Linked DNA regions of Callithrix jacchus. The protein of the gene in region 1 purifies or fractionates together with the protein of each later gene. This does not show direct contact. Links are inferred from orthologs where the notes say so. Each region holds a gene or a part of one and is shown on either strand. Other genes may lie near its edges.

Evidence for each region. The genes of interacting proteins can lie anywhere in the genome.
Region 2: the proteins of LLGL1 (region 1) and PARD6B purify together in Homo sapiens (affinity purification with mass spectrometry; 5 studies listed by BioGRID and IntAct, counting the BioPlex papers as one, with this or other methods). This does not show direct contact. The link is inferred for Callithrix jacchus from reciprocal best matches to the Homo sapiens genes LLGL1 and PARD6B.

The regions. Positions count from the first base shown.
Region 1 is NC_133506.1:82,662,496-82,668,878, reverse strand, and holds part of LLGL1 (lethal(2) giant larvae protein homolog 1), read right to left. Parts: intron 5,237-6,383; coding exon 5,155-5,236; intron 5,060-5,154; coding exon 4,929-5,059; intron 3,812-4,928; coding exon 3,653-3,811; intron 3,574-3,652; coding exon 3,411-3,573; intron 3,318-3,410; coding exon 3,182-3,317; intron 2,942-3,181; coding exon 2,887-2,941; intron 2,753-2,886; coding exon 2,598-2,752; intron 2,499-2,597; coding exon 2,275-2,498; intron 2,118-2,274; coding exon 2,050-2,117; intron 1,018-2,049; coding exon 864-1,017; intron 790-863; coding exon 685-789; intron 96-684; coding exon 1-95. UniProt on the Homo sapiens protein: Cortical cytoskeleton protein found in a complex involved in maintaining cell polarity and epithelial integrity. Involved in the regulation of mitotic spindle orientation, proliferation, differentiation and tissue organization of neuroepithelial cells.
Region 2 is NC_133506.1:46,269,462-46,276,530, reverse strand, and holds the start of PARD6B (partitioning defective 6 homolog beta), read right to left. Parts: upstream 3,751-7,069; 5' UTR 3,545-3,750; coding exon 3,479-3,544; intron 1-3,478. UniProt on the Homo sapiens protein: Adapter protein involved in asymmetrical cell division and cell polarization processes. Probably involved in formation of epithelial tight junctions.

The sequences.
Region 1 (6,383 bases):
TTCCATGTGAAGCCCTCACGGTCCTGGAGGAGGTCCACGATGGCCACGCTGACCGCCTGCTCCGCCGGCACATCACTGAGCTCCAGTACCAGCACCTGAGTCCACAGCCAGGCAGGCGGAATGTCAGCACAGGGGAGGGGCTGCCCAGGGCCCCACTCGGCCTGTAGCCTCTGAAGCAGCCCCAGGTACCACCAAGGTGGTTCTAGGACTGTCTTCAGTTCATCAGCCAAATATGCACTCACTGAATGCCTACTGTATACCAAGGCCCTTGCTGAGCACCAAGGAACACAGTGGTGACCAAGACACACTAGTCCCTGCCCTCTGAGAGCGAAGTGCCCATCCTTACCCTGAGCCTCTGTCTCCCAGTTAGCAATAAGGGCACAGTGAGCACTTCCTGTATGCCATGAGAGCACCTGAGCACAGAATGGGCACGAGTTCCTGCCCCCTCTTCAACACTCTGTGTTTCCCGACCCCCGGCCAGAACCTGATTCAAGGCCCCCAGCAACAGGCCACTTCCTATCTGTCCTCACCCCAGCCAGCCCCACCAGTCCCACCAGGAGCCCTATTCCCACCTTGGCTTTTGCCTGTGCCAGTCCATCTCCCCCTCCACCAGACCCTCCAGTTAAGACCCATCTCCAGAAAACCCTCCCTGACATCTCCAACCCAGGGCACACCCAGCCCTACCTGGCCTGCAGTGCCAGCCACCACCATCTGGGCTGTGTACTTGCAGAGAGCAACCTTCTGCACACCAAGCCGGGGATCATCACTGTAGGGATCGAAGCAGCCCACCTGGAAGGAGGGGAAGGAATGATGAGTCCAGGCAGAGTAGGGACCAGCTCCTCAGGGCCAGGGGAGGGGCCCACCTTGCGGAATGGTGGCCAGTCGTCCTCAGCAGCCTGGGCCAGGCTGTCAGCGTGCTCACAGTCTGTCTGGAAGAGTCCGGCTGTGCTCAGCTTATACAGTGGCCGCAGCGCCACACCCGAGGCATCCCAGAACCTCACAGTGCCGTCCTCATGGCTGCAGGGAGGGCAGATGTCAGGGCCACCCCTGGGTTCCTGGAAGGCCTGTACAACCCCTCCATTCACTTATCCGATGACCACTCACTAAGCACATACCGCGCGTGCCAAACACTGACTGGAATCCTATTGTTATGACAAGCAATAGGCACCTACTGTATACAGCACAGGCGCACTGTGCACCCGCTCTATGCCAGGCCACATGAAACACATACACGTGGGCCCTTTAAACCAAACAGGGTGGAAATGACCACCCTGATTAAAAGGAAGTAGCAGAAGGGGACATGCAGAGAGCAGAGGACTATAGGGGTTCTGTCCACACTGGAGCACTTATCAAAAGTGATCAAGAGCAAGGGCAGTCACAGAGTGTGGGGCATCCCAGGGGGAGGAGCTGTCTGGGGCCCAAGACAGCCACGTAGGTGGAGGAGCAGGAAGACTGCAGAGGCTGGGAGGAAGCAGGGAGGGGCAGGGGAAGGAGCAGACAAATCTAGGGCACAGCCTTAGGACACAGCTGCAGAGCCCAAGCAGGGCCCCAGGCGGTGGTGAGAGCCCAGAGCCAGGGCATGAAAGGTGTGTGACTGGCTGAGACACTCCAGCAACCCTGAAAGCCACAGTAAGCTCTTCAGCAAGGAAGGGCACACCAGAGCCAGAGGCCTGAGGGTCCCAGCACAGGTGGGAGTGGGGGCAGGGCAGGAAGTTGGGGCTTGAGTCACCGGGCACGTCAGTGCCCGCCAGGCCCAGGTTGGGCTCTCTGGCACCTTCCCTGGGTACCTCAGTGTGGGCCAGCCCAGATTTTCCAGTCCCAGGGCAGGCAGGCTGGGTGGGTGGAGCCCTCAGGTTTGGTAGAGCTTAGTTCCAGGCCAAAAGGCAGAGCAGGGCAGCCAGCACCTTGAACCAAGGTCCAGGGAGGTTTCATCCCAATCCACCCTAGGCAATGAGGAACTACCTGGTTCCACCAGGGGCCAGGCCTGAGTCTCCTGGGCTCTCCCCCAACAGCAAGGGGCCCCTCACCCACATACGCATGCACACCTACCCGGTCAGCAGCAGCCCTCGCTGCAACGGCTCCTGGGCTAGGTTCCGGCCCCCAGTGATGGGCCAGCTCTGGGAGGGGGTGGCAGAGATGTGCACACAAGGTTAGGACAAACATCTTCTCCCTCTCATCCCACGCATGGCACATTCTGACCCCCAGGCCTAGAACTGGAACACTCCCCACTCATCAAGACTCCACCCTGCAAGACTCCCCAACCCCCGAACACACCAAGGCACTGGAGACAGGCTGGGGGCTCTGCTGCTCGCCAGCGCTCACTATGCGGGCCCACAGCTTGGCGGGGACATTGGCCACATGGGCCGAGCAGGTGATAGCAGACGAATGCAGTGGGGCCAGGTATGGGGCGGGCACCGCTGGCCAGCCAGGAGTCTGCAGGTCCAACACCACCAGCTCCTCTTCCAGCAGCACAGCCAGCGCTTGGGGGTCATCAAATTCTGTGGGATGGAAGGGCCATGGGGTGAGTGCAGCCACAGGTGGCAAAGGTGCCAGGTGGGGCTGGGAAAGGGTAGGGTAGGGCAGGGCAGGGCACCCACCATCCTCAGGCCGAATACTGTGTACAGTGAAGAAGTCGATGATGCGGGAGGTGAAGTCCAGCGTCACCAATGTCTCAGCTCGAAGCACACTCACACAGTGGCGGTCACCATAGCTGGCACGGGGCATGCCACCACTGAAGATGATAAAGTGGCCCCTGTGTGTGGAGGGAGGTGTGAGAGCCATGAGCCACCTGGTTCTGGAGTACATACTGCATGTCCCAGGCAGAGCCCACCCTTCCAGCCCCCATCGAGACCCAACTCACATCGGACACCCACTCCCTTGACCTACCCAGATTCACAGTTCCGCCACAGAATCTTGTTGATGGCCTTGCAGGGAAAGGGGCCTGGGGGGTGGGACAGCATCAGACCAGACTCGCTGGTGGTTCTTAGCACTTCTGCCATTCCTCTACTGCTCTCTACCTTGCAGCTGCCTCCTGCCTCCCCGGAAAGTCGTGGGGGGTGGGGGAGAGGCACACTGCCCCCAGACCAGGCCCTCAGGGGAGTCACTCCTCAGCCAGTTTGGCTTGGCTCAGTGGTGCCTCCTCCTGTCACCACCCTCTGGCTGAAGCCTCCCCAGCACTCACCGTAAGGTGTGGTGGCCACTGTGGGCTGCAGCATTGGGGAGCTGCCGGTATCCACAGACCAGACAGCGTAGCTGCCATCGCTGTGCGAGCTGACGACAGTGCTGCTGTCACGCCCCCAGCATAGGCTCTCCAGCTGCTGTGGGCAGGTGTGGGCAAACAGGCAGGCATGAGCCATGGTGGGCGTGCACAAGGGTCCCAGGCTGAGGGGACACAGGCCTCACCCACCTACCTGATTCCCCAGGAAGACGTGGTCCGCACACTGTGAGGCCTGGTTCCAGATGACCAGCAGGCCCCGGCTGTAGCCAATGAGAATCTTCGTGGGGTGCCACAGGTGTCCCTGGAGCGACTCCACAGGGCCCAGCGCCTTTCCGCAGCGGTAGTCATCTGGCACGCTGTGAAGAAAGGTGGGTGTGAGCCAGGAGAACCTCCCGGGCATAGAGTGTGTGCTAGGAAGCCCACCAGGCCTCTTACCTGCGCAGAACCTCGCCTGGGGCGAGCGTCTGCCCCTCAAGCAGGGTCAGGGTGGTCACATCCAGGAAGAAGACACTGCTGCCCTCAGTGCCCAGGGCTGCTATGTCGCTGGCAGCCACTAGCAGGACCACTGTGACTCGAGTAAGGCTGGGTGGTACACTGCAGGTAACAAGGGGAAGGGAGTGAGGGTGGGAGCCCATCCACCTGCTGAGGTGGGGTGTGAGGGGCTGGGCCACTGCTGATAACTCATCGCTGGTTCCACAGCACACACTAGGGCCTACTTACAGAGCCACCCCAGGAAGACATGGGTCATAATCAGCCCGCTCAATTATTCATCAGGATGTCAGCAGGGAGACAGATAAAAATAGGCTCCCCAGGTCTTGCAGACTGAGCTCCCAGCTCCTCCCACCCACCAGGAGAGGACAGCAGGAACCAGGGCATTGCCCAAGCCAGGACCAGGAGCTCCTCCCTGAGCCCCACCTAGGAAACGTGCTGCCAACCCTCAGATATCTCCTCACTTCACAGGAGGGCCCCAGATACCCCCATCTGCAGAAGCTGGGAGGCACCAGGAATCCAACCCTGGGTTAGGACTCCCTTATTCCAGCTATTTCAGGCAGGGCTGGGGAGAGGGATGCCCCCTACTCTCACTCAGCTGGGGCATGCTGCCAGCACCTCACCAAACACAGCCCATGGGACCCTCCATGCCCTCAAGCCTGTCCTCTCACCTATGCAGAGAAAGGCCTGTCTCCCACCCACAACTGAGGGGCCAGGGGACTCTTGCTGTTATTTTACTGGCTTAGGCCCTGCCCCAAACCCCTAGATACCCCCATCAATGTAGTAAGTGTAGTGCCAGGCCTCAGGTCCTAGGAGTTTGGCATATAATGCATATACCTCCTGCTGTTCACAATGTTAACTACTTGCTCACCTCGACTCAACCCAAACTTCCCATTTAACCTGAAAAGTTCGCAGAGTACACCTCACTCACATCAGACACCCACTCCCTTGACCTACCCAGATTTACAGTTCCGCCACAGAATCTTGTTGACGGCCTTGCAGGGAAAGGGGCCTGGGGGGTGGGACAGCATCAGACCAGACTCGCTGTCTGCAGGGTCCAACAGCTGCAGCCTAGGACCCAGGCACGGCTCAAGGCACGGCTCCCTGAACCCAGCCCCTGCTAGCAGCTGCCCGTCCCCATGCTGCCTTTACACAGCAGGCTCTCAGAGCCTCCCTGGATCCTCCCCGCCTGGTGGTTGGCCCCAGCCAAGTTCTCCAGTACCTGGCACCATCAAAGCCGGGACGGCTGGGCAGCTGGAAGCTCAGTGCCTCTTCCAGGTGGGCACAGCCATTATGGTGGACAATCTCCCACAAATGCAGGCTGCTGTCATCAAGCAGGGTCAGGAGGCGGCCCTGGTATATGAGCAGAGATGAAAACTGGGCTGGCCTAGGGGAGTGAGTGGATATGGGGGCCACAGGGAGCTGGCCAGTGGGATGCAGAGGCTCACCTGGCCGGGCAAGAAGTGCATCTGTGTGACGGTGGCTGCATCCCGGTGTAGGCCTGTGAATTCCACACCAGGAGCACCATAGCTGAGGGTGGCGGGTCAAGGTGGAAACAGGCATAGACCAGGAAATCATGGCAAGAGATACCCAAGGCTCCTCCTTCACCCAGACTATTTCTGGTGGGCCCCACCATGGGCTGACCATCCAGGAGTCATCTCTGAAGAACGGAGGCCCCCTCCCTAAAGCTCCCACCCTGCACCTCCACAGTATCCCCAAGCTGGGTGTGCAGGCTCCACTCACTCCTGCAAGTCGGGTGCTGCTATGAGACCTTCACTTCCTGTAAACTGAGTCAGTGACTCCCACGCCTTGGAGGGCTGTTGCAGATCAAGTGAGAATACACACGCCCAGCAGGCTTGGCCTCAGCCTGGTGAGAGGCTGGGGCTTCGCTTCACTTCAGCCCCAGGTGTCTGTGGGCTCTGGGAGCTGTGCCTCGCCAGATGGGACCAGGCAGGCCAAATATGCAAGGCCAGGCCTGGACAAGAAAGCCAGAGGGGAGGAGAGTTCAGCCTGCCTTTTCCCACAGCTTCAGGCCAAACTTCAGCCATGGGTAAGAAAACCCACCTCCCTCCGAGGCAGGCAGCCAACAACCGCCACCATGAGGGAGGAGAGACCCTAGCCTGCCCATTCAACAGATGAGCACAGAGACTTGGAGGGGTCGGGTGACCTGCTTGAAGTGCCCAGTGTCAGTGCCTGAGTCCCAGCAACTCCAGGGCTGATGGTGAACTGCAGGGCGGGCCTGAGGGCCCCCAGGACAGAGGATGCAGGGGAGTCAGCAACGTTGCCCCAGTGACAACACAGGAGCCGTTGCCTAGAGCTTGAGCTGGGATTCCCTACAGGCCTGGCAAGGAACTCTGAAGAAGGGACAAAAGAGGGGACAGGAGCAGCTGGGCAGTAACCAGGGTCGTCAAGGAGATGGGGCCAGCCTGGCAGGAGGAGGGACAGCTTCTAGTGACCAGGGCTGGCCCTATCCAGCCTCAGTTTCCCAATCTGAGGGGCTCCAGGCAGTGGTCAGGGGAAGCAAGGAAGGGAAGGGGACCCCGGGCTCCAGCCTCCTTTCTGAGGCTCAGTCTCCTCATCTTTATGAGCCCGAGGAACAAGCAAGTGCACAGGAGACCCCAACACAGGAGGAACATCTGAAGGCTGCAGGGACATGTGTGGATGCAGCGCAGCACCC
Region 2 (7,069 bases), about 36 Mb from region 1:
ATAGGATTAAGATAACTTTTTACTATATGAACAAAAAACCTAACAGATAAAATTAAGATTCAATCAGCAATTAGTCACTATGTGAACCATTTACAACTGTTTTACAGCCTAATCTAGTTTGTCCTAGCCATCCAGAATAGGTATGGACTCCCTTCCCCCAGTGTCTGTTGGTACATTCTAGAAATACAAACTTAATTTTCATAGTCTATTTGCTTATGAATAATAATTAGGAAATTTTATGACTCAAAGACTGTTCCAGGGTTATTAAAGGACATCACCATGATTATTGATTAAGAATCTTTCCAACACTAGAGATACAGTTAGGAAGATAAATCAGTTTCCAAAGAAAAGTGACATACTAGCTGGTATCACAAATTTAACTATACTTATATTTACGTTCTCCATTATTTTATTATCATTATTTTTCCCTGCCACTTGCAAAGATAAGAAAGTTGACACTACTGCTTTAATTCATTTTTCAAACTTTTTATTTTTTTGAGACGGAGTCTCCCTCTGTCACTCAGGCTGGAGTGCAGTGACACAATCTCGGCTCACCACAACCTCCACCTCCCAGGCTCACATGATTCTCCTGCCTCAGCCTCCCAAGTAGCTGGGATGACAGGCATGCAGCACCAAGCACAACTAATTTTTGTGTTTTTAGTAGAGATAGGATTTTATCATGTTGGCCAGGCTGGTCTTGAACTCCTGACCTCAGGTGATTCGCCCACCTTGGCCTCCCAAAGTGCTGGGATTACAGGAGTGAGCCACCACACACGGCTGACACTACTGCTTTATATGAAGAAAAAGAGATATTAAAAATGGACGAGAACCCGGTGTGGTGGCTACCTCCTGTAATCCCAGCACTTTGGAAGGCCTAGGTGGGCAGATCACTTGAGCTAAGGAGTTAGAAACCAGCATGAGCAACATGGCAAAACTGTTTCTAAAAAGATTTTAAAAAATAAAAATAAATAAAAGAAAAGAAAAATAGACCAGGTAGGGTGCAGTGGCTCATGCCTGTAGTCCCAGTACTTCAGGAGGCAGAGATGGGGGCATCACTTGAGCTCAGGAGTTCAAGATCAGCCTGGGCAACTTGGCAAGACCCCCGTCTCTATTAAAAAAAAAAATTACCTGGGTGTAGTGGCGCATGCGTATAATCCCACTACTCAGGAGGCTGAAGTGGGAGAATCACTTGAGCCCGAGAGGTTAAGGCTGCAGTGAGCCATGATCGTGCCATTGTACTCCAGCCCCAGTGACAGAGCAAGATCCTGACACGAAAAATAAAAGAATTAATAAAAGGACCTGCACACTACCTATTTCGTTACAAACTCTTAGGGATTAGTGTTGTAAAAAAGCTGTGCTATCACTAAAGCAATGTCAAAGGAAATACTGTTTTAAAAACCCCTCCAAATATTTTTTAAATGATTAGATGACAAATATTTCAATCCGCTGAAAATAAATGTATCAGAAATATATATTTGAAAGATAGAAGGTGTCACAGACACATTAGGAATACTCCCCTACCTATACCTTGCCTATTTGTCAACAGCTAGAATAGTGCATTCAGTGCATTCATTCAGTGCATGTTTCTAGAATCAGTGTATGAGTCTACTTAAGAGACATGGTTCACTAAAAGTGCAGTATGGCAGTTCAAATATACAACATGTAGTTTAGACAGAAGTATGTGAAAGATTCAAAAATCAGTTGACAAGAGAAAGGCAAAAAGCCTGAAATTCCAGTTTTAAAGCACTCAAGGTTTCTTAGTACTAGAGATAAACTACTATTTGATTGTATTTATCAGCATGCTGATAAATACTGATAAAACAGAATTCCAACTCATTTTTTATGAGAAAAAAATTAAAGATTTGCTACCCAAATTAGGGCTATAAACTTATTTTTAAGATTATGCAATATCACAAGTGTTTTTCTTTCCATAACCTCAACGCCCACAAATCCAAACGAGACTTATAACAGAAATGCTGTAAGAAGGTTCAACCACTGGGCACGGAACCACTACTGCCACTATACCGCTAGAGGAAAAGCTCTGCTACATATTTTGGGTCATCTTCACGCTATATAGCTCAAGCAAGTCACTTCAATTTGCTATGCCGTGCACATGGCACACAGACACACGAACATTCCTTAAATTGCTATAACTACACTTCTTACTGATTCTGAAACTAGTGCCAATCCTCATTTCAGTGCCAAATCACATTTTTAAATGATGTTACAAACAAATGTAGATTTTCTCGATGTGATTCTCAGTTACAGAAACTTACAGAACTTTGCTTATCAACCGTAGACAATAAAACCATTCTACCCAGAGGCTCTAGAAAGCTTTCCTTACTCCACTCAACTCACTCCTTGATTCTGCATACTCCTTAGTAGGCTTACAATCTATGACGCTCCATTACTTCTTTTTTTTTTTTTGAAATTGATACGCTTTCAATTTTTTCGTTTTCTGTGTTTTGGCCTTTTCAATTCTATTTTAAATGTTCCGAGGGCCCAGCCAGTGCCCTGTTTTGTATTCTGCAGTGCCTAAAAGTTACTGTTAAAAAGGCATGAAGGCATTGCAAAAAAAGAGCTTGGGAAGTCATAACCTTTCTGAACCTCAGTCTTCTCAGAGAATTGGACTAGACTATCTAAGCTCCTTTTAACTCTTCAACTCAAGAAACTTCGTCGAAAATGTTCCCGTAGCTGCCGATCACCTTCAAACTCCATCTCAAAACCCCCTTTGGAAGGCATTCCCTAACTAATCCCTACAGACTCCCCTGCTCACCGAGCCTTGCGATTTAGGAATTCAGTGAATACCGAAATAATTATCAGCAGATTGGCATACCGCTGGTCAAGGGGAAAAACACTTGATGTAAGTAAGTAGCAGGATGGAATGAAAAGAGCATCCAAACTCAAACTGTAAAGTGCTACTCCAGCGTAAGGTGATAGCGCTAATTTTACAGATTAAATGCATACCAAAGTTAGTTCTAGAAAGAGCGCTAGCAGGAAGCAAAGGGAACTTTTCAAGGGCTATTTAGTTCACTGGGCTCTCTCCTTCGCCACTCGATGCGCCCCTGAACCCCAGAAAGGGGGAACGAGGTGGTCCAGGGCCCTTTATTCACAGCCCAGCAGGCAGGATTCCCCTACATCTTTTGAGCCGCCTCGCATTCCACTAAATGTGTGCCATCCTCGGGCATACCTTGGCCCCTACTCCCAGCCGTGAACACGGGAATGAGATTTACGGGACGAGATTAAACGCTGGATTAGATCTTCTTCCTGCCGGGGCCATGGGCGGACGGACACTAGCGCCCACCGACCCCCGCCGCACCCTCCTCGGCAAGTTTATTACCCACCATCCCCCGCCCGCACGTCCAGACCCCGGGGCAGCTCGGACCGTCGCCTCCCCCGGCGCTCCGAGACCTGCCCAGCCTCTCCCAGGCCCTGGCCCCCCAGGCCCGCCGCTCCGCCCAGCCCGTGCCCCGCGCACCTTGCTCTTCACCTCCATGGTGCCCAGGCAGCCGCTGCCCGCCGCGTGCCGGTGGCTGCGATTCATGCTGAACGCCGGGCCAGCGGCGGCCTCCTCCGGCCGGGCGGCCCCTCTGGAGAGCAGGGAGCGAGTGCGCGGCCGGCGGGCTCGGAAGGCGGCTGCGGCCCGGGAGCCTCCTCACAGGCACCTGCAAAGAAGGCGGCCGCACCTCTGGCGTCTGCGCCGAGCTGCACTCGGTCGGCTGCTCACACGGCGGGACCGAGGGTCGGACTGGCTGTGCGGCGGGCGGAGACGCAGCTCCCTCCCTCCGGGCCCCGGCGGCGGCGGCGACGACAGCGCTGGAGGAGGAGGAGGAGGAGGGGGCGGAGCGGAGGCCACAGGCGCCGCAACCTCTCCCTCAGCCACCTCCTCCGCGAGCCCGCGCGCGCGCACCCGAGCCGGGCCACAGCCGCGGCGCGTGCGCGTGCTCACCTGCCGCCCCCGAAGCTGCTGCAACCGCTCGCGCTCCGCCCACACCCAATAGGAAACGCGCACCTGCGCCCGCGGCGCCAACCAATCGATACACGCCTCGCGCGATGCGTGGGCGGGCCGCCTCCTCAAAAAACCCCGCCTTTCGCTGCGCGATTGGTCCTGCGCTTCGAGGGAGGGGCGGGATCACCTGAAGCCGTGGACCTACGCCCCTCATCAAGCCGGAGAGCCAGAGGGCGCATGCGCGGGTTCTGGAGTTTCCGCCCGAGGAAAGCACGCGGGGCGGTCGGCCGGAAGCGCGAGCGCACCTGAAGAAGGGCTCGGCTGGGTGGGTCTTTTGCGCACGCGCAAGCGCGCGCCTCGTTGTCCGGCGCGCGAGTCACACGCTTGGCTCTGGGGATGGGGCGCCTAGCGCTGCCGGTGGCCGAGGCTCCACGGGGCTGTTTGGTGTCCGCCGGTCCCCCTCCCCGCTTCCACTTTGGGAAGCGGCATCCCCTCCACCGCCCTTTAGCGTCGCTTAGGTGTCCCGCTGCAAGTCTTGTTTGCAAAATTTAAGTTTTCTAGCTTCTGTAGCAGTTGCTGGAGGAGAAGCTTAGGGCTCTCTTGGCTTGACTTTGTCCGAAGAGACTCTGCACGCCCTAAGTTCGTCAGGTCGAGAGGGAAGGAAAGTGGGCTTGAGGCGCGGGAAGGCTCCTTGCGGGCCCAGCCTCCCAGAGGATTTCTAGTCCGGTCTTCCAGTGCTTTTTTTTTTTTTTTTTTTCTTTAAACCTCTGAAGTCCTCTTCCCTCCTCCCGCCATTCCTTAGCCATTCGCTGTTTCTAGTAATGACAGCCAATGGGTTGTGTTCGTTTCCCGGAGTGACCAAGCTGTGTCCCAGAGCAACAAAACTCTGAATTCTCCTCTCTGAATGTCCCAGTCCCTGAGCCCGGCCTCTCTTCACACAGACCCTGTTGGCCATGGGGAGGAGAGGAGAAGACTGAAGATTTGGGCTGGAGGAGATTCCCAAGTCCCAAGGGCTCCCTGTGGGTTCTGGGAATCCAAGAGCTGTTGAAACCTGCAAACCAGAAAGGGGGTGGGGGAGTGGAGGTGGAGGAGGAGGGTCCAGCTTTAGATCTGGCAAGAAGAGTGGTTTGAGTGCCTTCCTCCCCTTACCTCCCTGCCCACCTCGGATGCCTCCTAACACTTGTACCGGTTTCCCAGCACGGGTGACAAGTTCCAGGTTTCCATTTTTGTGTGCATCTGAGTTTTGTGAGTAATCCGCCTCCAGCATAGAATGAAAGCTCCCGAAGGCAGGGAGCACTTGGGCTTTGCTGTCATTGAGTAGTACAGAGCCTGACTCCCAGTGGGTACTGTGCTGCAGCTGAGGGTGTCCTTTCTGCAGGCTCACTTTGCCCCACCTGTGTTCAAAGGTGAGAAGCTCATTTTTTTTTCCCCCTGGAGGATTCAGGTCACCAGACGTTTGTGGGGGAATTTAAGGTTTTTCTGGTCTTCTGAGGTGGCAGCACAGGTGGAAAGGACACCAATCCAAGCTGAATAATAAATAAGCAAGCTGCCTCCACCCGCTGTACGAAAGCACATACGAGGTGACTCAAGCTCAGCCGGAAATAAAGTGCCTATCAGAGCAGCTGCAGGGCCTGTAACTCCCGTTTGGACTAGCACAGCAGTTCCCAACTTTATTGTTCTCAAGACCCGTTTACACTATTAAAAATCATGGAGGACCCCAAAGTACTTTATGTGTTATATCTTTCAGTATTTATCTTAGAATTAAAACGGATGTGTCTAAAACATGGGAATACACCAGCATGCATTCCAACAGTCATCAGACTGATGATGTCATCACGTCTTGTCCCTTCTGGAAAACTCCATTGTATACTCTCCAGACAATGACAATGAGGAGAACAAATGACATCTTAGTTTTGTGAAAACAGTTTTGGCTTTGCAAAGACCCCCCCCATAAAGGGGTCTCAGGGACTCCCAGGGACCACATTCTGATCATGGCTGGACTAGAAACCATGTCACCACCTTTAGAGAGCTGGATTCTTAGGTTTCCCCCTCCTCTCCCTGATTGGCAGGACCACACCCTGGGAGCAGCACCCAGCTCTGTGTGAGTGAGTGTTGTTGGGTGGTTGAATTTTACTCCTGTTATCGGTACTGATTTATCAGGCCCTTTTAAAAAGGAAGTTCATGGGTGCCAGTGCACCTGCGTGGGCCCTGCATTCCTGGAGGTATTGTCACATCCTCTCTCCCTTCCCCGGGTGTGGCATCCCTCTTTACTTGGACTTTCCTTTCTAGAGGGAGGGCTAGGCCAGAGCTTCCTGGATCTGAGGAAAATTATTTCAACCCGAGCACCTGGGTTGTATAAGGAAGGAATGAGGAAAATAGTTTGAATTTGATCAAGGTACTGGGAAGAAAGAAAACTTTCATTCCGAGAGATGTTAAGGCTGTAAGTATGTCCATTGGGCCTGAATTTCAGCCTTTCAGCTCACTGCAATCTCCACCTCGTAGGTTCAAGCAATTCTCCTGCCTCAGCCTCCTGAGTAGCTGGGATTACAGGCACCTGCCACCACGCCTGGCTAATTTTTGTGTTTTTAGTAGAGACAGGGTTTTGTCATGTTAACCGGGCTGGTCTCGAACTCCTGACCTCATGATCTGCCCACCTCGGTCTCCCAAAGTGCTGGGATTACAGGCATGAGCCACTAAGCCCGGCCGAATTTCAGCCTTTCTTGAAAAGCATGATCAGCACAGACAAGGATTTATATTCCTGTTTCTTCCATTCAAAGACTAACCCTAACCTTATTTCTCTCCATCATCCCTCCCCGCCCCCAAATCCTCAAGCTAAAGCTGATCAAGGCTTACATGTGGCCTGAAAAGCTAGTCCCCTGCCTGGGAGAATTAATACTCAGTGGGTTAGGGAGAAGGAAGGTGAACGTATGACATTATGGGCACTCTAAATTGTAAGTTCACAAAATCCTTAGTCCAGAATGGGCTACCAGAGATAATCATGCCCATATACTGTCAAGCCTCTCCACCCTCTGAAAGAGGTTAGTGAAGGTTACGCTCCTGCTTTCTGTGCCTTTTCAATACTTTCTGTCTTCAAGTTCTACAAACATCCTGCCATGTTTC